Linked DNA regions of Neodiprion lecontei. The protein of the gene in region 1 purifies or fractionates together with the protein of each later gene. This does not show direct contact. Links are inferred from orthologs where the notes say so. Each region holds a gene or a part of one and is shown on either strand. Other genes may lie near its edges.

Evidence for each region.
Region 2: the proteins of serine/threonine-protein kinase mTOR (region 1) and regulatory-associated protein of mTOR purify together in Drosophila melanogaster (affinity purification with western blotting; 3 studies listed by BioGRID, with this or other methods). This does not show direct contact. The link is inferred for Neodiprion lecontei from reciprocal best matches to the Drosophila melanogaster genes mTor and raptor.

What each region holds. Positions count from the first base shown.
Region 1 is NC_060260.1:29,833,739-29,850,397, reverse strand, and holds the start of serine/threonine-protein kinase mTOR, read right to left. Parts: upstream 10,065-16,659; 5' UTR 9,976-10,064; intron 9,819-9,975; 5' UTR 9,709-9,818; coding exon 3,480-9,708; intron 3,402-3,479; coding exon 3,259-3,401; intron 3,175-3,258; coding exon 3,034-3,174; intron 2,910-3,033; coding exon 2,285-2,909; intron 2,086-2,284; coding exon 1,905-2,085; intron 1,769-1,904; coding exon 1,753-1,768; 3' UTR 333-1,752; coding exon of another isoform or gene 1-332. Other genes in the region: cytidine deaminase, read left to right, coding at 1-332; pre-mRNA-processing factor 6, read right to left, coding at 10,411-10,690, 10,804-11,147, 11,278-11,619, 11,731-11,946, 12,176-12,956, 13,029-13,579, 13,846-13,972, 14,067-14,126 and 1 more; sarcoplasmic calcium-binding protein 1, read left to right, coding at 16,579-16,630. UniProt on the Drosophila melanogaster protein: Promotes cell and tissue growth, maintains tissue homeostatis and controls responses to environmental stress and aging. Regulates growth during animal development by coupling growth factor signaling to nutrient availability. Central regulators of autophagy.
Region 2 is NC_060264.1:8,292,933-8,309,955, forward strand, and holds the start of regulatory-associated protein of mTOR, read right to left. Parts: upstream 7,207-17,023; 5' UTR 6,840-7,206; coding exon 6,639-6,839; intron 6,525-6,638; coding exon 6,422-6,524; intron 6,081-6,421; coding exon 5,839-6,080; intron 5,700-5,838; coding exon 5,553-5,699; intron 5,248-5,552; coding exon 5,063-5,247; intron 4,979-5,062; coding exon 4,919-4,978; intron 4,806-4,918; coding exon 4,705-4,805; intron 4,625-4,704; coding exon 4,491-4,624; intron 4,211-4,490; coding exon 3,827-4,210; intron 3,746-3,826; coding exon 3,671-3,745; intron 3,574-3,670; coding exon 3,316-3,573; intron 3,213-3,315; coding exon 3,069-3,212; intron 2,931-3,068; coding exon 2,678-2,930; intron 2,094-2,677; coding exon 2,052-2,093; intron 1,804-2,051; coding exon 1,658-1,803; intron 1,482-1,657; coding exon 1,387-1,481; intron 1,297-1,386; coding exon 1,191-1,296; intron 1,116-1,190; coding exon 952-1,115; intron 871-951; coding exon 700-870; intron 500-699; and 3 more. Other genes in the region: sodium-independent sulfate anion transporter, read right to left, coding at 8,572-8,771, 10,254-10,410, 10,562-10,735, 10,884-11,026, 11,134-11,274, 11,350-11,511, 11,594-11,758, 11,842-12,010 and 4 more; uncharacterized protein LOC107222111, read right to left, coding at 14,343-14,576, 14,906-14,962, 15,864-16,052, 16,171-16,361, 16,446-16,745, 17,015-17,023.

The DNA.
Region 1 (16,659 bases):
TTAAAGTTGGCGCGGCACTTCGGTGTGAAGATGGTACAATATGTAAAGGTTGCAATGTCGAAAATACAGCATATCCTGTATCTATTTGTGCCGAGCGAACTGCAATTAGTAAAGCGGTTTCAGATGGTAAGAGGAAATTTGTGGCACTTGCAGTAATCGCTGACTTGGACGATACTTTTGTATCACCTTGTGGTGAATGTCGGCAATTTATTATTGAATTTGGAGACATACCAATTTATTTAGCAAAAACAAGTCTGGGAACTGTATTTGAAACTTCAGCTGCAAATATGTTACCACTCGCATTCGCCATCTTAAATAATTCTGAAAAATAGTTTACCAATTTATTATAAAATTCCTTGATAATACTATTTAGAATTTGTTGATTATTTTTAAATATAAACTTCACAATCCTTCTGTGAGAATACATGTGCATATGTAATGTAATATGTTGAAAAGTAGTGGAAAGAACCTATTAGACTATATATAGAGAATATTCTGGTCTTGTAATTACTAATATTTACATTTTGTCGATAATGTATTGACTAATGGCGTGATGATTGTTAATAATGTAATAAAATGTGTAAATTTTTACTATACCATAACTCATCAACTTCAAAATATTTCAACAAATCCATAAATCGTGGCCTAAGGTACCAATTAACTTTACAGTTTGTGAACTTGAATTCTCGAGTTTCTGAACAAATGAAATCCATTCGAAAAATTAAGATGATTAATAATTTTTTCCCTACAAAGTAGAAATGATTCTTCGGTAAACTCATCACTGTACTCCTTAAACATGTTTTATGACTACATTGAGGATACACAAAGTACAATTACATGGGATTTCTCAAATTTCAAGTTAGTTATCTTACAATATGCAAATTCAGTATCGAAAGTTCCATGTTTCAATAGATTTTCCAAGATTATTTTGTTGGATAGAACGTTTTCGTCTCTTGAGCGCCCGATGTAAGAATGTATGTAGATGAATGTTTACATGTTGGAATCTTACGCTTCCGATGGAATTATTTTGTTGCTTTGTTCTTCGCATTTGTTGAATGATACATTCATAAGTTTCATCGTAAACTAATGAGAATGATAAACAGACAGTTGTACCGATAGGATTCAGAAGTTGTTGAGGTTATTTCGCTAGCCACTTGTGACCTTTCATATTGAATAGACTTTACAGATGCTTTATGTAGAATAAGTATGTATGGTTCTGTACAAAATTCGCATACTTAAAATTTGAATATCACTTAATCATTTACTTACTTCTACCCCTAACACAAACTGCATTGATAGATCAGAATGTTTAACAATGAAATAATACACGATATATACAAGATAAATTAAACATTACAATGATTCAGGAAAAGTTGTTTATGACAAGAATCCTAAAAAAAATAATGCTTCATAATCAGAATTAAGTAAACGTTAAATCTGTAAGTAAAGTGTTCATTGCCATAATTGATCGTTACTCTGATCACAACAGAGTACTTCAATTCGTCCAAATTTCATATATCACGGCTCGATATTATTATTTATTTCCATAACGAACCTCAAATTTACTGCCACAGTTAAATTAGCAGTTGTTACTTTAATTCAACTTGGGCAATGTTATGACACTGGCAAACCAAACTTTTCAATTATAATGTCTGGAGACTAGTCCCTGAACCTCATCAAACCCTTACTAAGCAATCATGAGAAAATAACCTCATAAAATCTTGTCACGCTTGACTTCGTGTAATCTGATTTTCACCAGAATGGACACCTGAAAACAGAGTATTTTGAAGAATTCCGATATTGCATATAAAACCTGCAGAACATATCTGAGCATTTTTGTCATTAACTTAAAGTATTACTTTAAATTAATTTCAATTGAAGTAATTAAATCAAAAGAATATTACCATCCAATGTAGCATTGGCAGAGATTTTCGTTATTTGTAGCCTGCTGAATCAGCAAATCAACTTGTTGCTGAACATTAAGCATCTCATCATGCGAAAAATCACGTCCCGTTAATTTGTCTCTCACTCTGTTTATTATTGCAAGTGCTTTCTTATTCAGAGCCTCCGGTTGATTTTTATCTCCTAGATAAAGGTAGTGATATAATATAACTTGCTTGATGCAAAATTTTAACTAGTATCTATGTGCCACAAAAATTTGAGAGGACGTAAATATGATTTATCATATGATTCCAAGTGAACTAATACAACACACGTTATACCAAAACTATTTACGCGAAAGATTAATTACCAATATTCTTCATCTTTTAAATGCAAACTTTACCTCCATTTTCAAGACTGCAAGGAACTCCTTTCTTTGGCAAAATAGCACTGTGAGAATCTAGCATGTCTCCGTGCTCCTGGCTACTACTGGCAGCAATACCCGGGGCATCTGATCTTGTAGCTTTTGGAACTGCGTTGTCCATTAGTCTCCAGTTCAACAGTGGATCGTAAACAAACGCCTCAAGCACAGCCATCAAGCTGTCTTTGTTACGATGTAACACCGACATAACCGATTCACTCGTCCGTCTGTATGTTCCTTCGATCCCTGTCACCTCCATAGCATTGATCAGCATTCTTGTTAACCTGAAGGGAATTTTCTCCGGGAATTTTTCACGCGTCATAGCAACTTCGAAACAATCTCCAAAATCGATGTGTAGAATTTTTCCACTAAGACGATCCAACATCAGGTTAGAGGGATGCCGATCTCCGAGTCCGAGTATGTAACCAACCATTGACATGACAGCAAGGGAACGAGTATAATTCGTTCGGCGATCAAACCACACTTCACTGGAAGGTGATTTGAGCCACAGAAGGCGAGACAAGTCATCCCCATGCGTGTGTTCTAAAGCATGTTCAAATACTTCGACCTTTTGCATCAGCATAAGATGATCATAGTCCGGTGCCATCTGTATAAAATAGATAATTCAACTTTGTAGAAATAAGCATAGATTGTAAGCAGTTTATTTTATCTCACATTTAATATTGATGAAGCAGAAAATATTGTGAAATTGTAAAAAAAAGCATGCTTACCCTCAACATTATTCTGTGCTCAATATTCAGTAGTATCTTTTTTTTCTCTCTATAATCTCGTATCAGCGTATGCAACGTATCGCAGTGAGGAACCCAGCCAATAAGCCCACTATTTGTTGATAGAGGAATTACAGCATATCTCTGTACATGAAACAAAGGAGCATACGAACATTTGAATTTCAAGTACGAAGAAATTACTATTTGTTTGAAGATTTCTTAACTCACTTGAATTGTAAGATTCCGCCTGAATGTGTCAGGATCATGCAACAAAAGTGTGTTGACTAGACCAAATAACTGCATAACACGTTCGTCTTGTCTAAGGTCCTCATGACCTTTCAATAGGAACATATAATCTTTACCGTTGCTACCTACGGAGATAAATGAAAAGAATTAACAAATCGTTCAAATGGAAATACTTTTGTAAATGGCACTGTTTCGATGCTAACCTTTGATGCAAAGTTTCCGAGGGCGTTGCTTACTAGTAATAACTTGCATCGAGCTGTGGATACTGGCAATCTTGATAACTGGATGTCCAGGATTGTAACTACCAGGTACAGCTAATTCCAAATCTCGGCAAACCAACAATTTTGGACTAACATACTGTAATTCTAAACTTGTTAGTTGAGGTAACTGTCTTGATATTTTTCTGAACACATGATAATACAAATCCCATGCCTGGTTTAAGTCCTTCACATTTCCAGACATTTTATACCTGTGGCACCATTCTTTTGCTTCCATCAAATCTCTTCCGTAAGTTTGATTGAATGATGTTTCCTTCAAGGTTTGCGGCCCTCGTTCTAACATCGCATGAAGAGGCTCCAAGGTATCGAACATTCCCTTGACGTTTCGTTCTCCAAAGTATAATCTACTGGCTTCTTCCAAGCCTTCGTGCCACAATTCATGCCACAGTATTGCAACTCTAATCAATTCGTCACTAGCTAATACAGCTTGTTGCACCAGCGTTGGACTGTGTTCGCACATATTTTTTAGTATCTTATTAGCGGCAGCTTTACGAGCGGGACTCGCACTTTTTGAAGCTACTGTTAAGGGGTAAACTAATGCCTGCGGATGAGTTTTACCAATATCAATTAACAGGTGATGAATTAATCTGCCGACTAAGGCTCTAGGAGTGTCTATTCTCGCAATGAGCTGAGGAATTACTTGCAACCAAGTATTGATTTCAATTAGTCTTATTCCTTCGACAATCGCTTCATACACTTCCGGCCATTGTCCGTAATCAAACCATAACGTTAGCAATCGTAACGTATCTTGTAAAGAACTGCCATGTGACAAATTAATAGACCGGAAGAAACCCTCGACTGCTGGTACAGTGAACTGAGAAATGTATTGAGAGCTGGCTAATGCAGACCTTGATGCATTACCAGGTACGTTATCGAGATTGGTATCACCTTGTTGATGTTTGTAAAACAAAACGGTTTCAAAATTTGTATAAGCAAAAGCATGCCAAGCTTTATACCATGAAGGATCATGTTTTGTTGCTGCTGCATAGTAAGATAACACAGCTGGTATAGAATGCTCGCTTATTCCTTGCAAAGCCTCCAACCACTCTCCAAGTTTTAGGTAACACCGAGCGAGTAATCTCTTCCTGGCTTCTTGCTGTTTCTCATCTTCTTGATTTAACACAGATATTGTTGCCGGCTGTAATGACGTTTGCACAAATCTTTGCAACTGACTATAAGCTGCTTCTCGATTATTCGCCATCCACATGTGTTTACAATAAGCAAATGTGACTTGCGGATGCGTTGTTGGCAATGGTTGATCAGGATTCTGAGATGGATCCATTCCAAGCAGCATAACTAATGTCTTATGACATAACATAGGACTGCCATTTTTTCTGCAAAGGCTAGCATATTTCAGCCATGTGTACATGTCGTCCTGTGGAGAAACGACCAGTGTGTGGACTTGAATAATTTTTTGCCAATCTTCAACGACACGTTGTCCACCTTGCAATCTGTCCCACCACATTGATTTTATTGTTGCTCTCCTCTCAGGAATTAACTTGAACTGTATTACTTCTTCTAATTCAGCTAACTTCTGAACTTCCACCATGGCGTTGTAAGCTCTCTGGTAACTTTCTCCAGCCATCGCAGTCAGTTCTGTGTCTAATAAATCTCTTGCACTGTCTATCAACTCATGGGCCACATCATACTGTTCATCATGTATAGCCAACACTGCTCTATAAAAGGCACCGTCCTGGGTGTCTTCAGGAATGAAGTTGACATATTTTTCCATACTTTCCCACTGCCCAAGTCCCCATGCAGCAGCTGCCGCCATTCGAGACATTCTTTGTTTATTTTCGTCATTTTCATTCGCCCATTGTCGGGTGGCAACATCATGAAGCTGCCCCCATTCGCCAAGTGCTTCTAAGCATCTCATCTCGCCTAAGGTTGATTCTACGTCAGTTGGATCAATGTTTAAGCGATCTTTATATAAATCTAATGCCTTATCCCAATTGTGTAACTTCTCATACCAACGTACTTGCACTTTAAGATCTTGTTGATTCTGCTGTTTCATAACATATTCCAATAATCCTTCAGCAACCTCTTTTTGCTGGAGTTTATTATTGATAGAAATCAGTGACTCGAAAACATTGCTGTTTCTGCCTTCGTGGAATTCATCTTCTTTGTAATGCAACGCCTTAGCATAAGCTCGGCAATGCATGGCTCGCTCACCCAGTAACTTGGCATCTAATGGTAAAGGTCCTTTGTCACAATGTTCCATAAATTCAGCCAAATTCAGAATAGTTTGTGTGATTTCCGGTAGGTCGGGCACCATTAGTGCCTGCTGCAAGGTCTCTTTTAACTCCGTTTGATATGTGCTACTGAGTTCAGTCCAACATGACACAAAAGCTGCGTTGAATAAGTCTCTTGGTAGCTGTGAATAAGTTTGAGCAAGCGCCCAGCATGACCTTAATGCCGGTGAAGGTGATTCTTTGAGCAATCCGATAGACAAACTTCGGAGCCATTCTAGCCAATCATCTTTGGAGACTCTGCGCGTGGCTGTCCAGGCTTTCTGTAGATTGGGTGCTGACACATGAAGACGCTTGATGATTGTGGTATCAGAAGATGTCAAAGATAAATCGCGATATTGGCGTCTTGAGTCTCGAGGACGTGTAAGTAAATAGTCTTCGCCATCAGCTACGGTAGAGTCGCTTTGAATTTTATCTGTGAGTACGTCGTAGCGTTGATGAGTGATTTTGTGTTTAGTCATTACCTTCTGAACCAATGGTATAAAAATTTGATACTTCTTTCTAAGTTGAATTAAAAGTGCGCAGAGAGTTTCCATTGCCGGCATCCTTAGTTCTGGGTATGTGTCCAATGTTCTTACTAACGGATGCACTATCCTTGAAGCGAAATCAGTGAAATCCAATGTATCAGCAAGGTCGTCGACAGTTTCCAGCGCAACTCTATTAACCGAAATTGGGCAATCTGTAGCATAGAATAGTTTCACTATTGGCGGAAGTACCAAATGCAGATAATTATCAAGATTGTTTCCAAATTTCTGCAAAGCAAGAAGCAGCTTGACAGTCACCGCACGATCCTTACTGGTATCATGTGTCAGTACTCTCAAGATTTGCGGCATCAATTGTGGTAAATAAATTTTGAATTCAGCACCCAGAGCAACAGCGATGTGCTCCACAAGAAGAATAAGCGTACTCTGTAACGGACTATTCACAGTCCACACTTCTTTAATCAAAGCGAAAATGTCATCCAAATAATTCCGAATGTGTTGTTTAACAATCGCAATAAGAACAGCCAACTGTTGAAACAAGTATTCTCGAAATCCAATATCAGCAGTGCGAACAACGTTCAAAAAGCTAGGCATAACTTGAGAAATATATGGTACGCATTTTATACCAAGGCTTTTAAAAATGAATGTTACTGCTTGCACAACCATGGTATGATGCTGAGATAAGGTGGGTTCCCGAATGATGCGCATGAGAGTAGCGATCGCAATAGCTGGATAATATTCCTCCAGAGTTGAAGTCGACATATTTACAAGCATCTCGCTAGTCGACTGATCTTGACTTGTTTCGGCATCACTTTTACACCTAATATCAGCCATGGACATTAGTGAATCAAACTGTGAATCTATTTGACCAAGGTTCATTTTGTGCTTGTAGGGATCCAAGGCACCTAGGAGTCCGAGTACTCTGATTGTTTCTCTCCTGGTAACTGGTGATTGCTCAGTTTTTAGAAAATTAATAAGAACATCGAGTAAAAAAGGATATTGTGTGTATGGCTTGACTACATGTCCTGTACTTCCAACCAGCTGGCCAAGAACCCACAAGGCGACACCTCTTTTGTCTGGAGAACTGGCATCGACCAACATTTCCAGTAGTATTGACAATAATTCCGGCATCCATTGTTGCATTTCTGCACCATTAACACTTGCTAAATCACCAATCGCTTTAAGTACAGCCAAGACAACACCAGGGTTAGGCTCAGGTTCTTTCATCTTCGGAATGAGAACTTTCAAAATAGGTTCCATGTAAGGTCGAATGAGTCGTGGAGCACTAATTACTAAATAATCGAGCATCCGCGAAGCCTGTTCTTTGTTACGTCCCATACCAGAATGTTCAAGCTCTGTTAGAAATTGGATCAGCGTTTTCCGAAGTGAAGGCATAACGTAGGCTGGATTCATAGTACTCAATCTCCCAATTGTGTAGATGGCGAGTTCTCTGATTTCAAAAATTTCATCATTCATCGCAATAAATAAGGCTGACAAACTTTCTGCTTGAGCAAGATGAATGTCAAAACTTTTATCAAGCGACGCGAGGACACATAATCGCACATCTGGATCAGTGTCTGTGATGCCGACGACTAGTAATTTTCCTAGCACTGTAGAAACTGTATTGGTAACCGTTGGCCCTGGTTGATTCAATGCTAGCCTCAAAAGCCTGGAACATGTTTTCACAGCTTCCAAACGGACCTGAGACTGTTCAGATGTCAAGAAATGGTCAGCGCATCTCCGAACAAACTGGAGTAAAGGATTTCCATCAAAATTAAACGTACCAAGTGTTTTCAGCGCAAGCACCGTCGAAGGAAGGTCAGCTTCTGCAGTTGGAGCTGAAATTGGACTTGTAGCTGACCACGGAGCACCGGGATGTCGCAGTGGTTTGTGCATCAGTACTTGTGACAGCATTCTCAATAATCCTTGAGAAACATCTGGCTTCAAAGATGGTATACTATGAGCTAATTCGCGCAATGATGTTGTAAGAATTGGACTCAGACCAGTGGCAAGCATTGGCTCTAAGAGAACCTTTATATCTGGCCCTATAGTTTGCTTAACAGCATGCCCTAGCAAAGTAATGCAGATAAATACAGCCGGTTCAAGTGTGGTACCTCGTTTCTTACTCGGCGTTTCTTTTGAAGGTAAAGAAGCTTTAATCACTTCCATAATTTCCGGAAGATAAGGTTCTATGCCAGTCTCAACTGCAACAGCAATTAATCCAATAGTTGTAAATGCTGCATGTCTATCTTTTTCGCGGCTTCTTAAAGTGATCAAAAGATACGATATACTTTGTGCCAAGTGATGCTTGTCAAATTTTTCTTTATTGAAAGCAACCAGCCGTGGTAATAGCGTCATCAGCGCGTGTTGTATATGAGGATTTCTTGATAGTTTTTGGTTCATAACATCTGCGTAAATATTATCCAAGCCCTCCTGTAATAGACTGCGACAAGCGGCAGATTCATGAACCGGATGAATTGTCTGCAGAGTATTGGATCGACTTGGAACTGGGCCTGTCCAATTTGGTACAATCGGAGTTTTGAGACGAGGAATGAGAGACAGAATATCATCATCCATCTGTTGAGTAGAGCAATTAAGTCTCTCCATCAACGCCTCATAGTTTCTTTCCCACTGAGCGTTACTGCATCTCAATAACTCGTTCAAAACTAATAAAGATCCGTGAATAGCGGCATCCTTGTTGGACCCTCGCCCCTTAACATCAGCATCATTGAAGCATTGTACAACTTCGTGAAAGCATTCTTTGTACCATTGCGGTTTATGCATTTGCTTTGTAGTTTCTCTTTGAGCGGTGACAACCAGAGCAGCTCTGAGAGCTTCGGTAGCAGCTTCTCGTATCAGCGGTTTGGGATCACGTATCGCGTTGAATATGAGATCAAAAAACGGAGATACTTGTTGAAAAAAATACGTCGGCATCGAGACGGCTAATTCTCTCAGTACAAGGACAGCTGCATGTCGTTTCCCCTCATGCCTGTCTCCGCCAAGCCACTCAAAAGCACGTTTCACTTCAAACTCGACATACTCTGCTGTGTAGGTGCCAGAGACAAGTGCGAGTTTCCCAACAGTTTTTGCAGCCAATTCCATAACTCCAACATCGTTCGACGGCAATAGATTTCTTAGATAATTTGCAAATCTTATAGTACGAGTGTTTATATTACCACCATCAGCACCGATTAGACAAACTATGGCTAGTATACCTCCCTTCTTCTCATTCATGTCAGAACCAGAGACCATTTCTTTTATGTGGTGATTGAATTCGTCCATAAAATTTGTCATCTCCTCCTGGGAGACTTCACGTAGCTCTGTTCTGACGTAAAGAGATAAATCATGTGCCGCCTTAATCCTAACATCTTCGTGCCGCGATTTAAGTCGCTGAACGAAATCCAGCACTTGCGAATGCGTCATGTTTTAAAATATATATTAGTTTTCACTTTTTGACAAAAACGTTCAATTACGAGATGTGACACTTGTTTTTTAAATCTTTACATCGGGATACTACATTGCCCGATGTCCACCTGAAACAGTTAAAAAACTGGTCAGTATGTATAGGTTAGGTTCGAATCACAGTTGCCGTGATGATACGCGTAGTGTGAAACGTAAAGAATTTACGAGATAATAAATGAGAATAACGTTAGATGTAACGTTGCGACGACACCTAAATTTTCTACTCACGTTATTCAATCATCTATTTGGTTAACACGTATTTTTAATTCGCGGCGCAATCACGCTATCAGCCACAAGCGCCATTTTTAGTAAATATAAAGTGATATAAAGTAAATACGTAAGGCAGCTCCCATTATTCATGGTGGCTCTATAATAGATTTAGTGAACTTATTCGCTAAGCTAGAATCTGATATGTGGCCCAGCTTCTATTGGTGAATTTTAACTTGTGCATAGACAAGATTTTGAGATTTGATGCTGTCAAATTTCAGCTCAATTTTCAATTTTTGCTGCATTTTATGTATGATATTTAAATCAAGAAGGTACGTAAACAATTCGTACTTAATGTCGTTTAATATTACCATCCTAAACATAATATATGTATAATACATTTACAGTAATCTATATTTATAAATACGGTATTATTTTCAATTTTGACACTCGGTTTTAGATAGGAATCGGTAAGTCTTTAGAAACTACGGTCAATATTTGGTCAGTATTTAAACACCAATTTACAATGTTTTTAGATACTCTGCACCAATTTTCACCATGATGCGGTTCTGCGGCTACACATCGCTTTTTGACTTCCTCTTGCTGTTCCTCAGTGCCATTTAAAAGCTCAAATTTATAAAAATACGCCCAAGCATCCCCTAAATCAGGATCTATCTTAACGGTGCGATTAAACCAATCTCTGCACTTGGATATTTTATGCTCACACCAAAAAAGCCTGCAACAGATACGATGTATAATTAATAACGACAAACAGCTCCCCAAACTAGGAGAAATTGAATAAACGTGAAATATCTCGCTGAACTTGCGTAATCTGGGTTTCCTACGTACTTGGAGACTGCCAGTAGAACATGGGGATCATGTTCACATTTTTTCAACGCATCAACGCTCTTCGTTTTCCGTTGTGGTCGTGCTTCCATAAAGATTGCTTCAGCCCATAGCAGACCAGACGTAGGACATTCTTGCAGAGCTTTAGCCATCAACGTATTAGCCATGTCTCGCACCCCTCCACCTTTCAATTCATTTCGAATAGCTTCTAGCCAAAGCTCCGCATTTTTCGGATTACGAAGCCGTGCTTTTTCAAGTACAGAACGAGCCTTTGTCACTTGACCTTTACGCTGTTCAAGTTGAGCTAACAAACACCACAATGGCACAGAAGTGGGGCATTTTTTGATCTGCAAAACAACCAGGTAAATTCTCACATACTTCAATCGATTTTATATAAGAAATGATCTGTTTCAAAATTACACATTTCGAACTCTTCAAACTATCACGCTGGAAGAATAACAAAAACGATTTACTCACAGCTTGATTATATGTTTCCAGAGCTTTGTCAAGATTCCCTTGTTGCTCTTCTATTTGAGCCTTCATTAACCAAAGCTTGGGAAAATCCTCAAAAGTTTCTATAGCTTCCTGGAGGAGATGCAGTGCAGCTTCTAGATTATTAAGAGCCCATTCAAGCTTGGCACTTTTCATCATAACTCTAGGAGTTGGCGCTGATGCTCTAGCTTTTGCCAACAATCTTCTGGCACGTTCATATTCGGAGTTCTCTGACTCAAGCTTGACTGCAGCTAACCAAATCTCTTCAGAATTTGGATTGGCTTGGAAAGCCAATGACAAAATACCTCTTGCCGCTGGCACGTCACCCTTGATATAGAAATAATCATATATATTTCAACAGTTACACGTTATTGATACTGAATACGTGTAACAAACTTAATTGAAGTAAGAGGATGAAGTATAACACCGATTACTTACAGCAAGCCATTTAGACTTGGCACCCATGAGCCACAGAACTTCGCTCTTAGGACAATGAGCCACAGCCCGTTGGAGTAGCGCTTCCAAGGACTCCCGTGTTCCGTAACTCTTTTCAAAATATGCTGCACGCAGCCAGATCGATTTTTTGCTGGGAAAAGTTGCTAAAGCATAAGCATACACTGCTCTAGCACATTCCAAAGCACCTTGTTGTGCACACTGCAAATAATTGCATTTATATTGTTCAAATTGACTGTACTTGTATAGATTTATTAAAAATAGTTCCGAAGCAAAGTTATTTAGTAGCTTTTCAGTAAAATTTGTTAAAACTAAAAAACCACTGCCACAATTTATTTCAACTGTGTGAAAATCGATTACTCAGAACCAAATATGTCACCTGATCCAAAGGATTTTTCATATTTAATGGTAGATAATAAACTGTACTTACTGTTTCTGCATCTTCCATCCAAGTGTGTTTCCTATCTTCTTCCTCAACTCCAAACCCGATGATGGACTTGACAATGACTTGACAACAATGGACAGCACCAGCTTTTTCAGCTTCCATAGCTTCTTTGAACCAGTGTTCTCTGTTAATTTCAACTCCGTTAACGTTCAAGGAACTAATTGCTCTGTCAATGATCTTTTCTACCATATGCTTATTGCCATTAGCTTCTTCTAGTTTAGCAGCAGTCGTCCAAATCTGTCTATCCGTTGGAATATTTTCTCTAGCTTTATTAAGAACTTTTCTCGCGTTATCGTAAGTTTCCAATCGGGCCAAGGCGAGCCACAAATCGACACTTGTTGGACAACACTCAACTGCTCGACTCAATAAAATTCTTGCATCTTCTGGTTCTTCCAACTCAACAGCTACTTTCCACAACCGTACTGAGTTCGGAATATGCTCTAAGGCTTTTCGATAAACACGTCTCTTTGCCTTAACTTCCGTTTCCAAGTCAGCTGCTTTGATCCAGATTCTAACAGATGTTGGAATGTGACGTACAGACTGGGCAATTACGGCCTTTGCCGTCTCCGGAGGTTGAAGCCTCGCCGCTTCTAACCACAAGTCTTCAGAAGTTGGATTCACCTCACAGCCCTTCATGATAAGATTTCTTGCTGCTTGAACCTTACCCGTAACTTCCTCTAAGCGGGCAGATGCTATCCAAGCCGGGGGATGATTAGGATTTGTTTCACGAACGGATTTCAAAAGCAATCTGGCCTTTTTTATATCACTGAAAAAAATTTCAATATTGTATTGTAAATTAAATGGATAAACTGGTGAAAAAATTTTTTATGAGACTTACTTGATGTCGCCACCGTAAGTAGGAATCATACTTTGTAGATCCGTTAAGTAACCTTTGGGATCAACAACTGTTTGACCCTCAACAGAATCTGATACTTGATTCAGTTTCACATTCATAAGCGTGTTTCTAGCTTGTCCAATTTTTCGCAAATCCAAGTCACCGGTTGGGGTCAACATACCAGGTGTGGCTAGGCCAGGCATCATGGAAGCCAGTCCATTAGATGGGTCTATACTAGTAGAAGTGTCTCCGCCCAAGTTTCTTGCTAAAACAGAATCTGGCAAAGGCGTAAACTTTTCAGCTCGTGGATTCCGCTGTTTTCTATTACGCGCATCGCCAACTTCGGGAACATTTTTCCATTCATCCTCAGACACATTAACCAGTTCACGCTTCAGATCTGAAAACTGTTGCTGGATTTTAGGCCGTTCTTGGCGATAACGTTCAAGTTCTTCTCTTAGGCGCTTTTCACGATATTCTTTCCGCTTTTCATCCATGCGTTTATCAATCGCTTCATAAATTGCATCTGCTTCTTCATCATCTTTGTCATAAGGATCCTGGATAGAAAAGAAATCACCTGAGGTTCAAAGTAATAAAGTTATTCTATTGTGCCCAGATTAGGAAAATAACTGGCAAAAGGGTCTATATTTCAAGTGTAGATTAGCATATAAAGAAAAATGCAATTTACTTAGGGTAATATGAACTTATGCTGCAAATTGAAATACAAATATGAATTAAATCTATTCGCAGTAATACTGAATTGCTAATACTATAGGAGGTAAACTTGAATCTTCAGCGCTTTGCTCGTCAGACAATACCGTACCTTGCTAAACAGCGACCCTCCATACCCGGAGAATTCGTCATAATTGGAATCGTTGAGATCTTCTTCATCCTCTTCTTCTTCTTCCTTTTTCTTAGCTCTTTTGGTAGGTGGAGCGTGTCGATCGTCACTGTAAAATTTTTACAAATTACAATAATGAGTTGAAGTTAAAACATGATGTCAATCAGCAGAAATTAATTAGCAATTAAAGTGAGAAATCTTACGAAACATCGTTGGCATCGCGAGCTGGACCGATATCAGAACGAGTCGTGAAACCTGTCGCACTGTAAACACAAATAAAAAGCGAGGTTAAAAACGTCGCTAAATCGTAGACGTCAATTTCTCCTCGCCGGTAAGGTAATATTTATGAATTAAAAAATGTATTAATCGAAATTACCCTCTTCCGACACCAGCGACATAGCCCAAGGGTGCTGGAACCCCTAGAAAATGCTTTTTATTTCGCGTTGAAAGCGAAGCTGATGGCACCGCCATGTTTATTACATTCTACACTATCGCTGCGTGACGACACGACGCCAAGCGGTAAACACTGAAATAATGGATTACTTTTGAATCTTCAGCTTTACCCGACACAGGCTGGTTTTGCCAATTCCATCACGAGATACAGCAAATCCCTCGGAAAAATTCGGTGCTATACTTACAATTTTTATTCCCAACAATTAACTTTCAATTTTTATTAACAATTGTTGAAACTATACTGTGTATTTTTCTTGGCCTTAATTAAGGGATTCACAGGTACCATCGCTAATTCACGCCATATTAAAAGTAAATTGTATTCTTACATTCTGATACATATATCAAATTTTTACATGTATGAAATTCAGTATTAACATACAGAGGTCTCGCGATCAATTTTATTTAAATACGGCTGTTGTCGATAGCTTCTTAGCGAATTTGCTCTCAATTATCATTATCCGTACGTAAAATTAATATTGTTAATTAGATTTTGGCACGCATGATAATTGGCCACGAGGTTTTTTGTTTAGGAGTCTCGATTCCCCTTGGTAAAATAATCTGATATATCCCTGGTACTGAGAACTATTCAGACGTGTCATTTTTCAGTTAAATTTCCTAGAACCGATGTTAGAAATCACAGAGCAGTACTTCAGGCTTGAAATGTGACGTAAACCGACAGATCTAGAACACTTCAGCCAGCTTACTGTCGAGACCACTTTCTTCTTTATGTTTTGTATACAGGATGGCAAATGTGTCGGTCTATTTATAATTTAAAACTAGGTGTAAGTTAAATCAAAAATCAAATTGACGGAAGAGTATTTCATGTCCCGCATCGTTCGAGCGGTATGGAAATATTCAATTCCATGAGTGATTAGTTTAAGACAATCCAGGCTACGGGTACATCTACTGTAAAGCGCAATATTTCAATCGAATCAACGCCATGTGAATTAAGTAAAGCTCGCTCAACATTCGGCCTATTTTCAGGATTGTCGGAACGACCGTATTGTACGAAACTTACAGATTTGCAAATATCAAACAGTTTAGCATTATTGCAATTATTTTAACATCGCATCTGATTGTGAGCGACTGAATAAATAATAGTTCGATCGGCAGCCACATAATATAGTGACCGATTGAAGCCTCTTTCCCATCTTATTATTGCCTGCCTTTACATTGAATTCGACTCTTATTGCAATCTGTTTCAATCAAACATATTTAAACATCATTGAACCGGTCAACTTGTTTTGGCTTACACGGGTATAGTTGTGGTAATATGCTCATATACTTATTGTTAGATACGCCTAACAATAGCTGTATACATCGTGCATGGGCGACCGGCTTATTAAGCCGAGAGTATATACATAGAATGTAGAATAAGTTTATTTAAAGCCGGCCACAGACAGTTTGGTGTGTAACAGTGTAACGCCTTCGCGATGACCGGTAGCAGGCAATTAGTCAATTGGTACGCGGACACGAATTAGTGAACTAAATTATCGAATCGATCAATCAACTCGTTCTTCGCTTTAGCAACCATCTATAAAACCGTACTATCGTTGCGGCGTTATCACAAAACTGTTACGCGCATGTCGTACATGTTTCCACACATACCTACACTTACACGCGTTATGTCACGCACTGCATGAAACCCCTATAATTTTCCGCATATGCAATTGCCTGTACCGTTCAAATGTGACGGTAATTCGTACGAATGTAGGTATGTATAAATTAACCCGGAACCGCGGTGCGGACAGACATATACGTGCGTCTTTGGGTCTTGTTAAGACGTCTCGTTCGCATTTGATATAAATGTTAGAAGAAACATTAATCAGACAACCGGCGCGGCGCGAAAAGCCTTTACAGCCGATCTCAACCGCATAACTACAAGTTGAACGTAATCGGTAATTTACAACCAGACAAAACGGCTACGATTCCACCCATCATCCACCACCTGTGCAGAGGATACGTCTAACTTTTCCTCACAGTATCCCTCGTCGCCAATTTCAAGTACCGCTACCGATATTCAAGCATATCTAAACTTAGACCATCCAGCTGCGGTCTCAGATTGTGTTCAGTATTCATGAATTCGGTGTGACGAACGTTGCTCGCAGATTTGTACCTTAATTCCCGAAAGATATTTTGGATTCGAAAATTCACGGGTTTGTACAAATAGTAACGGCATTGAATTTGTAATATATATTTGTTTGTTGAATAACTAGTCGCATTCTTTGAGAAAAATTACAGCGTTTCATTATCGAATAAAATATGGCATACAGTTGGGATAATCGAGTCAGCTTCATAGTAAAGTTCCTTTACGGTTAGTACAATTTTTACATTACACGAGAA
Region 2 (17,023 bases), on another chromosome or scaffold:
CACCAGCTACTTACAATATATAGTGAGATTTGACTGTTCATCACTCATTTTGAATTGAAGTGAAAGCTGATTTGGAATAAAGTTGGAAGTATCGAAAGATAGTTTACAATGAATTGAAAATTTTTTTACTTAATTTAAGTTTCAAGTGTTTCTACGTGAATAACAAAATTATTTTGGAGACTATGCTCTGATGTGATTTTAACGATCTGGCAGGTACCAAAGTGATATAAATTGCAAAATTGAAAATACGGTTTTACCACTGGGACTCTTTGAAGCAGGTTGTGCATCTGCTAAGGCTTGCCAAGCTGTGAGGAGCGTAGGGTCACGACCCAACATGTTACAATAATTTTTCCATATTCTTACAGAGCCGTCATCAGATCCAGTCATCAGAAGTGCTACGTCGTGAGAATTTATGAAACCTAATGCAGTTACACGAGCCATTTTACTCCCGCGGCTTGTGCAGTATGTAAGTCTTGTACCGGTTTGCCAGTCCCATATTCTACACAATAACGAATAATATTAATCCTTCAACTTAAGGTAAAGATGTGAAATAGTTGACAATAATTGTGGGCTCAAGATTTAATCATACTACTTGGCATTGTAAAAATAAAACGGGAATATCAATTTTTCAATGACAAAGTAATGATTTTTAACGACTCCTTAAGTTTCGTTAGATAAACAAAATTTTAAGAAACCTACCCGAAACAATCTTTTGCTGCGACAGCCAGATGCTTGTCAAATGGGTGGAAAGTAACAACTTCAGGAGGTTGAGGGCTTCGTGTATGAAAGACCTGAGACTCTAATCTTCCTCGCGCAACTCTGATCTGTTCCTCTTTTGCGTCTCTTCGTTGTTTCTTGTTTCGAAGATATCTAGTGATTATAATTCCACGAGTTACAATACCGAAATTAATTTGAGATCAGTTTTAGGTATAAAATTAAATTACTTATTACCTCCACTCCCGTTCATAGTGAGCTCTACTCTCTATGTCATTGGTGGATTCTGTTTCACTCTCTAAACTGACCGGTTGAGCAAATTGGGCGCAACTCCATTCGACGAATAAGGACGTTGTCAATGGATTTTTGAAACCCAAAACCTCATCAGCCTCTTCAGTTATCTGAATTTACGCAAGTTACAGTTCCATTTTGTTAAGTAACATGAATTATATCAAGGCAGCAATTTAGAAGCTTACTGTATTAATCGGAGGTGTTTTTCTCGTCCGACTTCCGTGTAGTGGTACCCTTGGAGGGCGTAGAATTTCCGAGGTAGCGCTGACTGTAGGAAGAGACTCTCCCTTACTGGGATAAAAAAATAATTTCAAGTTTGAAAATTGACTATCTTAATTATGTGAAACGATCCTCGTGTCTTTCGTATCAATTTTTACTCACGTCAGAAAGCTAGCTCGACTAGATGGCGACGGGGGAAGGGAGATTGATGGTAGCTTTGCCTCTGTTACCTCTTTTGGTACTGAACATTCTTTGACCTGGATATTCAACATTTTTAGACTTTGCTTTTTATAAAAATGTTATTTGTCAAATTCTGCATCATGTAAAATTCTAATTTGTACTGTTGATGGTGTAAAGCAATTTTCAGCATCATGGATTGTGTTTAAAAAACAAGCACTGAACTGAGAGCTGATACTATGTGTGGGAATTTTACCTGATTACGAATGTGGTTCGTAACTTTCTGAGACATTGTAGCGACCGAAGGATGCGGATCACTATCGAGGCTACAGAGGCCATGCCACAATTTCATGTACACACTTCCGTAAGACAAGCTTGGGAGATTACCAAATGATGATTGACCTGTACAAAAAGTGATGGACAGATTAGCCGAATCTATTTTATCTTGCGAACATATATGGTTTCTACAGTAAGAAAATCTCAAATGTGATTATGAATTTCCTTCACTTCAACTGATCACTAACTGCATGCAAGAAAAGAAAAAAAATTTCTAATAATCCACCAACTCTAAATTAAATTTAGAAAATAATCGCCAAACATGCATCAAGACATTCGGTTACGATATGATTATGTTTTGCACAAATTATTACCGATTGATTCGCATGGTTTTCTTACAAATTCCCAGTTGTTTCCTGGTATGCCAAAAGTTGAAAAGAAAAGCTGTTAGACACTTAGTCTTAAAATAAAACTGCAACTTATTAAGCGAACCGTTCCTTGCAATAACAAGTAACGTCATCAATTTTTCTGGGGTTTCAGCTATATTTTATGCAATTCAAAGTTTTGAAACTCTTTTTCAGAGATGCTAAAATAACTGATATAATTTTTATAGACTACAGCTTTCTTCGTTTCAACACCTTTTGGATATCCTAGGAGATCGAGTTCCAATCACAATAGCTGTAAGATGAGTAGAGTGTCCTGATAATCGTTTACTAATTAACAGAGCAAATATGTCTAAAGTTTGGCTCAAAGATTTTCCGGTGTGAATCATATGATCAGACTTGAGTCACTTTTTAGTATATTTATTAATTAGAAAAATTCCGAAGAATATAAATTCTTCAATTACGTGAGCTTAGGAACATAACAAACTTATCTTTAACGCTTTTTCCGATTTGAAAGATGTCGTGAAATTTAATATGCATTTAAAAAACAAAAAAAAAATGATTTGATTTAAATCATGAAAGCAGTAAACAGTTGAAACGTTGTACAAGTACTTTACCTAAACTACTGATGGACGAAGAAGACGATACTCTCTTCATGCGATCTTGGCTAAAATCTGTCGTATCCGTGCCATAAGCGTTATTTGGCGAAAGAATTTTTAATCTATCTCTCGAACCGATCCGACGCATACCTGTGAATGGAGATAAAGTCTCGACGACTGGATCCCGCCTACTATTTTCTTCAGCAACTGCCAAAGTTACAAACGAGTTTTCAAAATGTAGCACCATCCATTGCAAAGCGACGACTAATTCCTGTGAATAAAAACGAAAACCGTTAGATAAAGACTTCCTGGCTAGAAATCACATGTATGTCAATCGTGATATATTTAAACCAATTACTCTATGCTTGATAATATAAAGAATAATTGAATGAATAAGGATAACACATACCTTTCTCACAAGAGGGCTCATATCGTGACTAACAGTATTTATAAGCGTCATGGCGATAATTTGATCAATATTATTGGCATGTTCACTTCTTTTAGTGACACTGTTTATAAATGTTCCTAGAGCGTAGACCGCAGCTGCTCTGACCTGAGAAACAAATCACTTGAGTAAACAACTGAAATAAAATAGATGTAATCTAGGGACAACTAACTGTAGAATAATAAGGTCATTCATAAGGTCATAAGGTCACCTCAGGTATTGGATCTTGCAAAAGAGTGTAGAGTTTTTCATGCGCAATATCTCTGACTCCGCACCACCTAGCTGCATCATAATTATGCCAAAGTCTGGCAAGGCACAGGCATAGCCACTGTCGTAGTAGAGGATTTGGGTCACCTAGTTGCTCCAGACAAATTGACACAAGACTACCTTTCAGAGCAGCTTCCTGCCCTGCTGGATAGTTGTTTACGATACTAGCCAAGACAAACGCAGCTAAAGTTCGGTGCTCGCTCTAAGAAATCGAGCATGAGAAAGATTAAAACTATGATTAACAAGTCATAGAGATTGTAATGCCAGAGGAATGGTAGTAGCTATACATAACAAATTACCGGTATTGTAGGATCTTGAAGAACGGAAAGAAAATATTTATGTCCATGGTCGCGCACTAGATCTGCCTGACACGTCTATAATATTATACTAGTTAGTTCATAAACAATTGATTGATTCATATATAGATATAGTAATGAAACAGACGTTGAACATACACTGTCCACCGCAAGGATTTTTGCCCATATGAAAACTAACAAGGGTCTTAATTCTCTTGCATTGCTCTGTAGTAATTTCAAAACGTAAGGAAATATCCCAACACTTAGGGCTAGGTTTACAGCCCATGGTCCAAGGTCAAGGAACTTTCCAAGCAACTCCAAAGCTCTGAGCCTATGTACTTGGCTCAGCAATACTTGTAATACAATTGGCAGTTGTTCGGGAGGGTTGCGAGACTTTGAACCTAACGTAAGCCATACTTGGAAGGCTGTGAGTTGTTCTTCGAAAAATGGCGAGTGAACAAATAAAGTCTCCGATTCCAATACCGCTGCTAGTTGAGCTAAAGAGAGGTCAAGAGCCAAATCCCAAGCCTGCCACATTGGGTGCTGCACAAAAAAGAAATTCATTTCTATTATCGGCTCAGTTATGGATATGGTAACTAATTTCAAGTGATTGTACCTGTGACTTGTATAACGAAACCATTTGCTCATTATAGACTTAAATATCTTCGAATTGTGTTTTGATTTACTGTCAAATTCAACTGCCAGATATAAATAATGTTAGAAGCTTATCTTAAAAGCTATTACGTCCTGAGCCAGTTCCTTTTTGTTTTTGTAAGAACTCGATCATTAACATAAGAATGATTCGGTCCAAAGTGTTACTCACTTGAAACGTTGGTGGTAGTTTTGGGAATGAAACAGGTGTACAGTCATAGGATCGAAGGATCCTTTCCGCCAACAAAAAGTTTCTAAATAAACTAGCTACTAGTAAGTCTTGTCTAAATAATCTTTGGAACAGATCTGAAAAAGACAAAATAGTCCTTTGAGTAATCAACTGGTATCCACATCTAATGTTTCTAGAAAAAGAGGTATTGATATACCTCTAGGTAACGTATTCCAAGCAATGGTGTCTGTTATAGCCGTAAAGATCCAATTTAGTTCGCCTAGCATCGTCCTGCGATCTGACAACTGACCTGGTATTCTACAAAAAAAAAAAAAATAATAATAATAAATAAATAAAATAAACATCAATCTTCATCTTCATTACTATCATATTGTGTGAAAAATTTAGGACAGTTGACATGTGGAACTTACTTATCGATAAGGTCTAGGGACACCTTAGGCACTAATTTTGATGTATTCTGCATGACGAACCTGTAAACGAGATTAAATAAGACAGATTTATACCAGTCAATTACCACTACAACAGTTTTAGATACTATGGTTTATTCATCTCACCAGCGTAATGCAATTGTAATGGGAGTTGTAAGACAAGCTGTGAATATATCTGCAGGCAAATCAGGATTCATCGGAAGTATTTGACTAGCAGCACAAGCTGCCAGCTGTATACAATTCTTGTAAGAAGGGGCAGTCGCGCTGGCTACGCCCGCCGTCCTATTGTGCTGAACTGCCTGCTTTTCCATCTGTGAAAAAAAGAAAATATAATGTCGGCGAAAAAGTATGTTCTCCTTCCGTAATTTGAAACTTCACTGTACATAAAGTTTTTAAACCGACACTAAAGATGTGTGCATGAAGAACAAAAAATGTGAGAATATAGAACCAGTGATTGGCATTTACAGCAATTCATAGAAATATATGATATTCTGGTCGAAACTAAGATTCAAATTCTTAAGTGAATGAATTCAACTTGAGCAATGCTAGTATTGTTTTCACACTTGAGAGTCATGTATCTCTGACATTAAATATGTAAGTTATGCAGTAATTTGACCTCGTATTCCCGTTCATGCTGTTCAGCAAACTGCTGAAAGGAATCAACGATGATTCCAGCATTTGAACAGTCGTATACATAGATAGAAGGTGCTCCCATCCATGTTTGCAGATCATACACCGACAGAGGAATGTACTGCGTGTATGTCTGAAAAGAAAAATACAACTGGTTAGTGATTACAGTGATATTTTATAATCCGTGGTAATTGGTGATGGTTCACTTATTGTGATATTTGGAAAGGATTTACGATTCTGCAATGAAATATCAAGCTTGCTAGACGACTAACCCTGTTGAAAACCCATATTTCTCCATTGCTGGTGGGTTTAGGAACTCCGTGACCGTTATAGTGGAATAGAACCCTCTCCTCCTTGGCATTGCGGCGCAATGACGTGCATAGTTTTTTTACTTCCTCGACAGTCGGATCAAGGCTTTGCTTGTACCTTGCACGTGGTTGCCATCGCTCATACTGCAGTTGAAGGTTTTTTCCAATCATCTCTAGAGCCTTTTGTGGGCTCATCAACTGTGGGTCTGCCCATAATATGTATCATATTACAATCGGAGTGAAAAAGTATCTGGGGTTGGAATGTTGGTAGTTTGAATGTTTAAACATTGCATGAAAGGCATTAGATTGAAGTAATCATCGACACTACATTCGTTTTTATCGGCATTCAGTATTAATGAATAAATGAGTTTTTGATCAAACATTGAATCAATTGAAACTTCAGTAAAAACCTGCATTATCGACCGGACAAAAGGAGCGGTTACACGAGGCGAGAAAAGACAACATAACCTAAGTACGCCGTGGTTGTTACATAATTGGCATGACAAAGAACGTTGATGTAAATAAATAAAGGAAAGTCATGAAATACCGATCCAACACTCGAGTCGAGCACAGGGTTGAGTTTTGACGACGTCCGGTGGATCGACGCCAACATTGAGGCATAAAACGAGCGCGACGCTCACAGTTTTCATCTGGAAGTGTGACATCATGGTCATGACAAGATCACATGGTCCGCTCGACTATATCGATTAATATTTGACGCAGAATATGCAGCCGATGGGGTTGATATCTGTCAAAAAACATACCCGTTCCTTCATTCGCCATGTCTGCGTGATGCAATTAACCCCTTCAATCGTCGCTGTGTGCCTCGGCTTGTTGAAAGCGATTGGTAATTTCCAGTCGACGTCGTCTGGATGTGTATTATTATACTGATCGTGTTTGTTCCCGTTTCGGTTATCCACGCTCTCCGACATTGTTGGCGAGTAAAATAAATCACCAGTAACCATACATTGATGACACTTCTTTACAGAATCAACAAACGCATTTCACCAATTTTTTCTTCTACAGCTCAAATTATCTCCACGCTATTACGCCTTCGCAAGTTTATTTTATGAGCCACCATGTTGATTACGCCTGTGTTACACGCTACTGTTTTCGTTCCATCCTCAGCTCGGGCTCTTGACATTAAACCTGTCTTCGCGTCGGATTGATTATTTCAATTTTCTCCGACTAACCATCACCGAATCTTATCAACGGCTCACCCATTGAAATCTTTTTTTCTCAATTTTTTCTTATATATTCCCTCTTAAATTTGCTACACGATTTCATGACCACGCGGACGGCGCAAGGTCCACGGTAAGCCACGGTTTTCTCTCTCCCTCTCTGTCTAATTTTTCCCCTGTCGGTAACACAGGTTTCTACACTCTTATGGCTGCTACCCATATACGCATAGGTACACATTTATTACGACGTTTTACCACTCCAAGTTACTCGTCACTTGCATTAAATCTCCTTATAAATCTTCTGTATTTAATTTTGTTTACTCTTTCCTATTTTGAGTTTCTGAACTATGATTCAACGTCTTACAAGGCTGAATCTTTATTGCATTTCGGTGCCGACTTATCATTGCTTCCGTAATAAAAAATGTATAAAACTAGGAAAGATAAATCAATTTTTATTACAATACTTAGAAAATTTTTGATTCTGACTTGATGAATATAAATTCTTTGTGATCAGTTTATTTTTATTACGTAAGGTTTCACGGACATGTCTCCTTGTCTGTTTACAACCGGATTCAATAAATAATTCATATTATTTGTTCGCAGATACCTAAGTGCTACGTAGCTATTTTGATGTATTTGGAAAAAAAATTGTAGAGCATGTATTCATTGTTATATAGTTACCATATTTATGATATTTACAAAGAATCGTGCTTTTCTTTCTTAATCACATATTAGAGTCTAAGAAGTTGATGTCAACCAGTCCCAAAGAAACTGCTTTTGACAATGAGTTTCTGTTTCCTCCTGCTGTAGGACTATTTGAATATCAGAGATTTTGAAGACTATTTACTCTATGATTTACTGTACCATTATAATTACCATATCTTCTACTACCTACATCATTAAGTTTAATATTGCTCAAAGCAGAATGATAACATATGTTGACCAATGTCATAATATCCTTATATTACTGCTCACTCTTGTTTTGAAAGTATTTCAAAGTCAACACCTTAATCTTGCGGATGTTTAAAAATTACACATAAATGTAGATAAGCGAATAAAAGAACCACACCCAGTCGACCAACTTGATTTGAGTACGGCAAAAATAAAATTTACACGAATTAAAATAAATTCAAAATAATTAGCACATAAGTCTTTTCAGTTCGCTTCAGTTCGCGTTTATTCTGTTTCTGGGTGTATTTAATTCCATTCAATTCATTTTGGTTTACTGGGTAGCCTATTCATGTTCTTAAGTTTCTTCGTAATTCAAAAGGTCTTCTGATTATTTCACCCAAGTCTGTATAGAATTTGAAATAGGGTAGACAAATGGTGTCTCTTCCTTTATGTAAATGTGTTATTGACAACAAAAAAAAAAAATATGAAAGTCGTAAAAGCAGCAGAATTTGCTTTGCATCGCATTGAGAGCTGCATATTCACACATTATTATAGTCAAGAGAAACAATTTTATAGATGCCAAATCCTTATTTCTTCATGACTCGGGTGGTTTTGTTTGCAATTTTTATTTTTCAGATGTTTCAAACTCCTTTATTACTGCTTGATAGTCACTCACTAAAGGTTTGCCTTCATGTTCTTCTTCTCGATTATCTGCTGTATCTCTTCCAGCCTGTGTTATTCCTATAGTATTATTGTCTGCTGTTTCACTTTTCGTCTGTTCAAAAATTGGCACTGTTGCACTTCTCGTCATTTCAACTGTATTATCTGAAATAGAAATTTTACTGTACTGCACGGAACTGTAATTCGCTCAATCCATCATTCTTCCCCCCCTAATTCAGAACCGAATTTTAGATTTGTCTGCCATTTTCACTTTTTATTGCATGTGTTGAAAAACTAGGGTGAGGAAACCTTCAACCTCAAAAGTTCCAAATCTTTGAGGAAAAATAAACTTTCATATTTTGGTAATTGAGGGACTGATCTTTTTTTAATTATTTTTGAGATGCAATGTGCAGATAGCTGGACGAAAAAAAAACACAAAAATTGTCATCGATGTAAAAGCGTCCAAATTTTTCAAAAAAAGATCAGTTCCTGCATGGGGGTGGTTTCTGCTCTTGAAAAACTCACGTGTTGACGAATAAAGCGTATATTTTCAATTTCCACAGAACGAAAATTGATTCTTATTTTTCGCTTCAAAATTCATGTCCTTCTTTCTGTAAAATCAAATTTCGTAGATTGGGTTTGAACAAGAATGGCTATCAAATAAAATTTTTTGGGCGTTTTTTTTAAACCCAGTATTTCTTTGTTCAAAAAGTTTGTTCAAGTTAACATAAAATTAAGTCATAGTAATAATAGCTACTTTTGATAGTATCTAAGATATAAGTTATTGTGCATACTTTTTTTTCTTAATTCATCATTTTATAAAATTCACTTCTTAGAAACTTATCCATGTAAATGTCGCAAGGGGAGTTTTTTTAACGTTAAATTGGACGGAGCTATTTGAAAAAATATGTTTAATCGAGTAAAAAACACTACTAAAAAATTTGTCATATTTATTTTGCAGTCATTTTATGGTTTTATCGAAAGTTCAAGGACTCAAACTTTCAATAAGGGAAAAATAAAAACGAATTTTCGTTCAGTGGTACTTGGAAATACACGGCGTCGATATTTTTTATATTTTTTTATAAAATTTGTAGTTCTGGCCTCGAAAACCTTTTTCCTATCTTTCCTTATGAATCACCTGCAAGCCGGAATAACCATTCAAAACACGAGAAATAAAAGTTTTTCCTCACAGAGAAAATGTTACAGGTTTAATACTTTTCTAATATTTCATCACCTCTTATTACGCAAAATGAGATTTGAAAATAGCAAATAAATCTCGATTTTTTTATGCCGGATGACTGAATGAAAGTTGGTGCAAGCTGCCATTTACTTGAAAAGTATAGGATATATGCATAAAAAATTGGACTATTGAATATAATTTATATAAGATCAGATGCGACTATGAGGTTGAAAAGAAATAATAAATGCAAGGTTAGCAGATTTGCAGAATTCACCAGATATGTGAAGAGAACTCGAAATGAGTCGCTATAAATCTAAACAAGTCAGTTACACAAAGATTATAATTGTGCATCATAATTTAAGATACCACACGCCGTTTACAGTCATGTATGCAGATTGTAAAGTCAACGCTGCAAACTTATTACTTCCTGGCAACGTGTTCATATATTTATCCAGCATTGTACTCACAGAAAAGTTTACCAACGATATCCTCTTCGTTCTTTGCATGTCTTAGATTTTTTATACCACCAAGTGATTCAATTTTCTTGAACACTTTTGCGTTCAGGCGTATGAACATTAAGCACTGCCCTTTCTTCTCAAAGTCATTAATCATCGCTTCGATGCACTAGAAAAGTGGGATAACATATTCCAACAGCTTCTTTAAAGTTAAGTGATGACGTATTGTTGAAAAGTATTCTGCATAATAGTTTCTACGAAACATAATTTATTTGGAAAAGTTTATACAAACGGAATTCAGCAGAAAGTATTTTTCTTACCTTCATCCCTGTGTAATCAATGCTTTTGAAGCCATCGCAGTCCAAAACTACGGGAAGTATATTTTTCCCTTCTTTCACTGCAGCCTGATTTGCGTTATTACGTAAAAAATCTACCGCTGGATAATATAATCCAATGTCTGGCTTTATTAGGATGTATTTATCCCCGTCAGCAGTCTGTGGAAAACATAAAAACAGTCGTTTAGTCTCCATATGAGAAAATTTTGCTGAACACATATATTCTGGAAAGCTAGAGTGGCAATTAGATTTAACTGGGAATCTCATAAACCGTTTTGATTATCAAGCAGAGGCGTCGATTACGCACCTTGCATTTTGATATCTCTATATTTGGTCTTGCCCACGCGTGTAGCAGATAGAGTATGTTCAACGTGACTCCGAACAGCAGTCCATATTCAACTGATATAATGCATGCAACGAACGTAGTAATTGTCGCCGCCATGTCTTTTTCTAAAAATGAAATAATTATAAGCCTTTAACGGACATGAATTTAGTGAAAAAAGGAATAGCTTAATCATTTGGTTATTTATGGTGATTGGAGAAATATTGTAACTCACTATTTCCTTTCCACAGTATTGGAATTATGCTCCATTCTATCATGAATATCACTGCGCCTATAAGAACAGCGGCTAGCGAAGCTCGTGGAATGTAATAGAAATAGGGTGTAAGGAAGCTCAAAGCTAACAAAGTCAAGACCCCTGTAATCACAAGAAACAAAATATTCGTTAGTTACTTTATGCAGTTTTAGCTTGTATCATATTTAGAAGACTTACCAGCATAGAGACCAGACAAGGGTGTTCTTACGCCACTTGAATTACTCACTGCACTTCTACTGAACGCACCGCATGTTGGCATCGACTGGACAAGGCTACCAAATATGTTGCACAAACCCAAACTGCGCATTTCTTGAGCTGCATCGACTCCCTTGTCACTTGCTTGAAACAGGTTCGCTTGATTAAGAACATCAGAAGTTGAAATCCATCACTTTTCATTATATTTACAAACAGAATAGTTTACCGAACACTTTAGCGATTGAAACATTAGCTAACACAGCAACTAGAGGAATGATGAAAATTCCAGATCCTAGCTGCGAGCACATTTCGACGAAGGTATATGTTTGATTGCCGTTTTGTGTACTGAACGGAGGTAGACCAAAAGATGGAAGCCCTGGCTCAACTTTACCTGTGAACATGAATTGAGAAAGGAGTCCGCGTCTGTCAGTTTATAGTGCAGAATAGACTTAGAAAAACTATTGATAAACTTACCGGAAAGTACGAAAGGGGATTTGCCAGCTCTTTCCATTATAAACGCAATAATGGTTGTGATTAATATGAGTAGAGCATTGCGACCGATGGAAAGAAACCACAATAACTTTTTCACAAATCTTTGCTTTTTTTCACTCAGGCGACAGCGTAGATTCACATTGTTGAGTCTCTGTAAGAATTAATTATCTCTCTTAGAGGTATGTGACAAAATTTTTCAAACGTTCCACTAATTAAAGCTGCAGGAAAAAATAGTACAAGATTTTCTCTACCCTGAATGTCAGTAGAAATATGATACTTGATACACCGATCAGGGTATCACCAATTCGAATGTCACCAATATGCTGGAATGCTTTAAAAATCTTCTCGACATTGGAAGACGTTTTGTATTCAAGACCAAGCAGTCTTTCTAGTTGTCCGAGAATAATGATCACCGATGTAGCTGAGGTAAATCCTGATGTAACAGGCGTCGAGATAAAATCCACCAAGAATCCTGTCAGAATTAAACATCATCTGTGTCGATATTCGACGTTTACGAACGCAACTTCAACATAATAAAATATGCTGTTCAATTAACAACTTTTATACTATACGAATTTGTTGATATTAACGCTGCAGGCAATTTAATTGTACATTCGTCATTTTTTCATCATCACGAACCGAAGTTAAGCAGTCCAAATAGTAATTCCATGCATCCGGAGAGAAAACCAAGGAGAAATACAAAGTCTATCGGCAGGCCTCGGGTATATTCATTTGTCAAGAGTGACATTAAAGAAGTAGGGCCAATGGATACTTCTTTGATTTTTCCAAAAAATATGTAAATCAAACTACCCGCAAAGGCAGAATAGAGTCCGTACTGTAGAAGAAACTTATTTTCAATACAATGAAAAACGATTAATTTTTACCACATCGCATTTTCTTAATTTCAATTTTGTGCATACCTGAGCAGACACTCCAGCTAACGCAGCGTATGCTATGCTTTGAGGAATCATGGTCAGCCCTAGTGTTATCCCTGCAATTAAATCCGAGACCGCATCGAGGTGTGTGTATCGTGGAAACCATTCCAGTATAGGTATAAATCGGGAGATTTTATCCACGCAGGTTGAAGATTCAACTTTATCCTCATCTTCCTCTTCCTCGATCGTAATCGATCCTTTCATTGATATTACTTTAAAAAATTCAAACATTAGCACATAGCAAGTTGGAGGTAAATCCAAATTTTAATTCCAACATACAGTACCTGGATAATTACATTTTTATTAGAAAAATAATAAAATACCATACAGGGCAGAGCAATCGACATAGTTCACAAACGTTTTGAATATGACTTGGGCTTTTGACGGATATCTAAACTTGATACTTACAATTAGACATTCGCAGCGGTGATACTTGGAATGGATATTGATAGAAGTTTTATGCGAAGAACACGTTGGTATATCACGAAGAGATATAATGATATAAATCGAATGTTGCATCTCTACGGTGTAAGTGCGTCAATAATTCTTATCTGGGTGACTTGAGTCAACATTAAACAGTGAAATCCACGTAAATTCACACCTTGCAAAGCTTCCATTCGCGATATTTTTATGACCTAGAAAAGTGCCACTGGATTGATAAGGTTTTTACCTAATGATAAAAAATACGTTTCCACACTCATGTATATTAGTCTGCATCTGTAAGGAATAGGCATTTATAACGCATTTAACCGTATGTACAGCAGCATTCTCGCCATCCTTGTACACACAAAAGTTTTATGAGTTATGATGCTCGTAAGAAAATATCATCTAAAACAGCAAGAAACAAAGCGATTTTAATGATTTATTGCACATCACTATTTGCACAGCACTTGACAACTGAATTCGGTGACTATTTATAATTACAATCACTATGATGTATCAAATGGTAGATTATTTATAGGAAAATAGTATACAAATCGTGAATAAAAAAAATTTGAAATACTGAATAATTATTAAATCTGCTTAAATAAAATGCATTCGATTATCGTTAAATATCTTAGTGACTTGAATTTATGTGTATTAAAATTCTATCAAAAAACTTTTTATTCGTAAGTAATTTCGAATATCTTTAACTTGATGTTAATACCAACTAGGTATAAATCATAATGTATCTGTGTTAGATTTATTATATATTACAAGTAAAAAAAAAAGCACTCGGTTTCAATTTTAACATAATACTCTGTTATATCGCTGTAAAAATCCATTAACATGCTAATAAAACATATTGTTCTATCACATATGCTTCAGAATTTGTAGGTAAATACGTAACTTCAGCTCTGTTGTGCTTTTTCTCGCATTGAGTTTTTTTTTTTTATCTAATATACAACCGTGTAATTGATATCAGTTAATTTATTATTATAATAATTGGTTTAAAATGACGACCTGTTAATTGCAGGGCGTTCCTTTTAACTAATAGTATCATTTGAAAAACCATAATTTAATATATATCCAAATTATATTATATATTTTTTTCAATTTATAACAAGTTTAACGCAGTTTCTTATTGACTTGGTCTATTAGTTCGTCCACCCTTTGAGAGACCCCGCGAAACTTGTTCGGTTCCGGACCAATCATTTGAATTAGCTGTGGTACTTCCTGTCCGCTGATTTGCGTAAAGCGAGCCAGTGCTTTCATACAACGGAATAATTGCTCCTCGGATGGATTGCTGTTGAAGTACTGTAGAAGTGCCATTGTCAGCTCAACGGCGACGTCATCGAACACCTAAATTGAGAGAGTTCATAAGAACGGCAAAAGTATTGGGTGCCTGAGCCAGTTTCTTAAAAATTGTGCTGAAATGGATTCGCAGTGTTCCTTGGTACCAAATGTGTAGCACGAATTCTATATGTAATATAAACCAAATTTGGTATAACAGGAAAACTGGAAGTAATGAATAGCTGTTCAAATTCACATTACAATTCGAGTCAACGTCTATTTGAAAATTAAGAATGAACATACGTTGGCAATTTGCAAGTATTCAATTCTGTGTAGATTGTGTTGATATTTTGTCTTACAAATAAACTTATTTACAGAAGGGACTTTAACAGCTGTACCTTAGAAATGCTGCCTTTTGGTAAAAGTTGCCGAAGATTTTTGCTTTTGTTCATTTTCTGAAAAAAATATCCAATACCTGCAGAAGTATCTGTTCGAATTTTGATATTTATGCAGCTGAATTTAATTAACACGAATAAACGTATCATCATTTATTGCTTTACATAGTAAAGTATAATAATTGCTGGTACCCATAAGCCATTGAATTCATATTGCAAGCATGCCAGTTAACTTGAATAAATTTTGTAGGAAACTCTATACCCAAAGCAGTTTTAATAGCTCATCAGTTTAGACAAATAATAGGCCAAAGCTGCAGGAAATAAGGCAGCACTTCTATCCAGTAGTATCTCAGGCTGTAGCTACAACAATCTATACATGTTACAGACGAGAACATTATACAATGAGAACTCTGTTCTCAACTGCAGTTGCTACGAGAGCTTGATAATTTTCGCATGTTGAAATGTTAGTGACAATCCGTTGAACAACCATTCATTGCTTCTGTTTTGAATTTTGTTACCTACTGCTACGTATAGAAACAAATTGTTCGATGCAAATTTTGTCTGATAGTTGTATTACACAAAAAGACGCAAGTAAAATGAATCTTATCATGTGCCTAACGTTCGTACAAAAGCTATGTTTCCATAATAAGGAAATTCTGAAGAACTCGTACATAGGCTTGTCCTATAATGGTGATTTACCGACTGATTTTTATAATAGAGTTGTAAGTCATTATTCCGTGAATGTCAAGAATGTAAATAAGTCGTTTACGTTATGTCAAATCACCACGAAACCATCGATAAGAGATAGGAAATTATTACACAAAGCAATAAACATGCAAAGAAAAGTGAAATTTGCATAACGTCTTTCTAATAATGTCAGGCACATAGTTAACAGCTGTAAGTAAAAGTTGAAAAAAGTTAATTGATAAGCTGGATATAGGATACAGACCACAGTTTTTACCTCCTTGCAAGCAAGGTTGTGAATGATTGCTGCGCCTCGTTCTTGTAATTCGGGTGTTTCGGAGAGAAGCGAATGTACAGCGACTTTCGTTGTCACTCTGATATTGCTGATGTTCTGGTTCTGATAGGGCCATTCAGAAATGTACAAGAGCCACTCGGAACTGCTTAGATTTTCAAACATATTTGCCATCTGGAAATATATACGTTACATATCTTACTGTAGTGTTACTCTCCCTTCGGATATCATGTTGATTTTGGGCGCGATTATTTAAATATTTAAATACTACACCACCAAGATGTTTACTTACAAATAGTGATAAGGAAAGTTGTTCTTCGTGTGGGTGACGATCAATGTCAAAAGCATAATTCATCAGAATATGTTCTCTACGATCTTGGTGTAAAAGCAAAATGACATCATCTTTCAGAGCTGCAACTGCCAGTACGTTCAAAAGACGCACTCTAACTGCTGCATCGAGGGATTTATCGTAGAGCAAACGTCCTGTTAATGAGAAATAATCACATTAGAGGTGAGAAAAAATGATGCACTTCACCTTCTGTACGGTCTGTGATAGAAAATAGAAACCTATGAAATTCAGGAAGTTATCTCCCAGCGCCCAAGAGCCTTCATCTTCCAGCACGTACTGGTGAAGTTCCTCTAGGCTCTTCTGTTCAGCTTCGTTTAGTTTACCATCAACCAGGCCGACCAAAGCGTCAAAGTCAACCCTCGCGTCTACGGTATCTTTGAAAACTACAGGAGGATCACGTTGGCGTTTTTTTTCTTCAATGTCACGTCGTTCGTCTGCTTCCATTTGCAACACTCTGTCCGACGGTAACATTTCCGCACCGGCGTCGCCATTGGTAGATTGTATTTCGCTAATTACACCTGAAAACAAAATGAAATTTTCCTTAATGCGTGATTAAAGTTAATACTCAATTTTTCTCTTCTTGTTTAATATGAAAAAAACTCACTAGTAAATTGTGAAACACCATTGTGTGCATGTATTGTTCTGATGGGAATACTGATATGAAGCTTTGTTAGTAGTATTATAAGAAGATGAGATAATACAGATCGCAACGATTGATCTATACTATTATCTTCATCATTCATGAGTAACCGTTAATTAGTGTAATTTGTGTTCTATGGGGACATACTCTCACTTT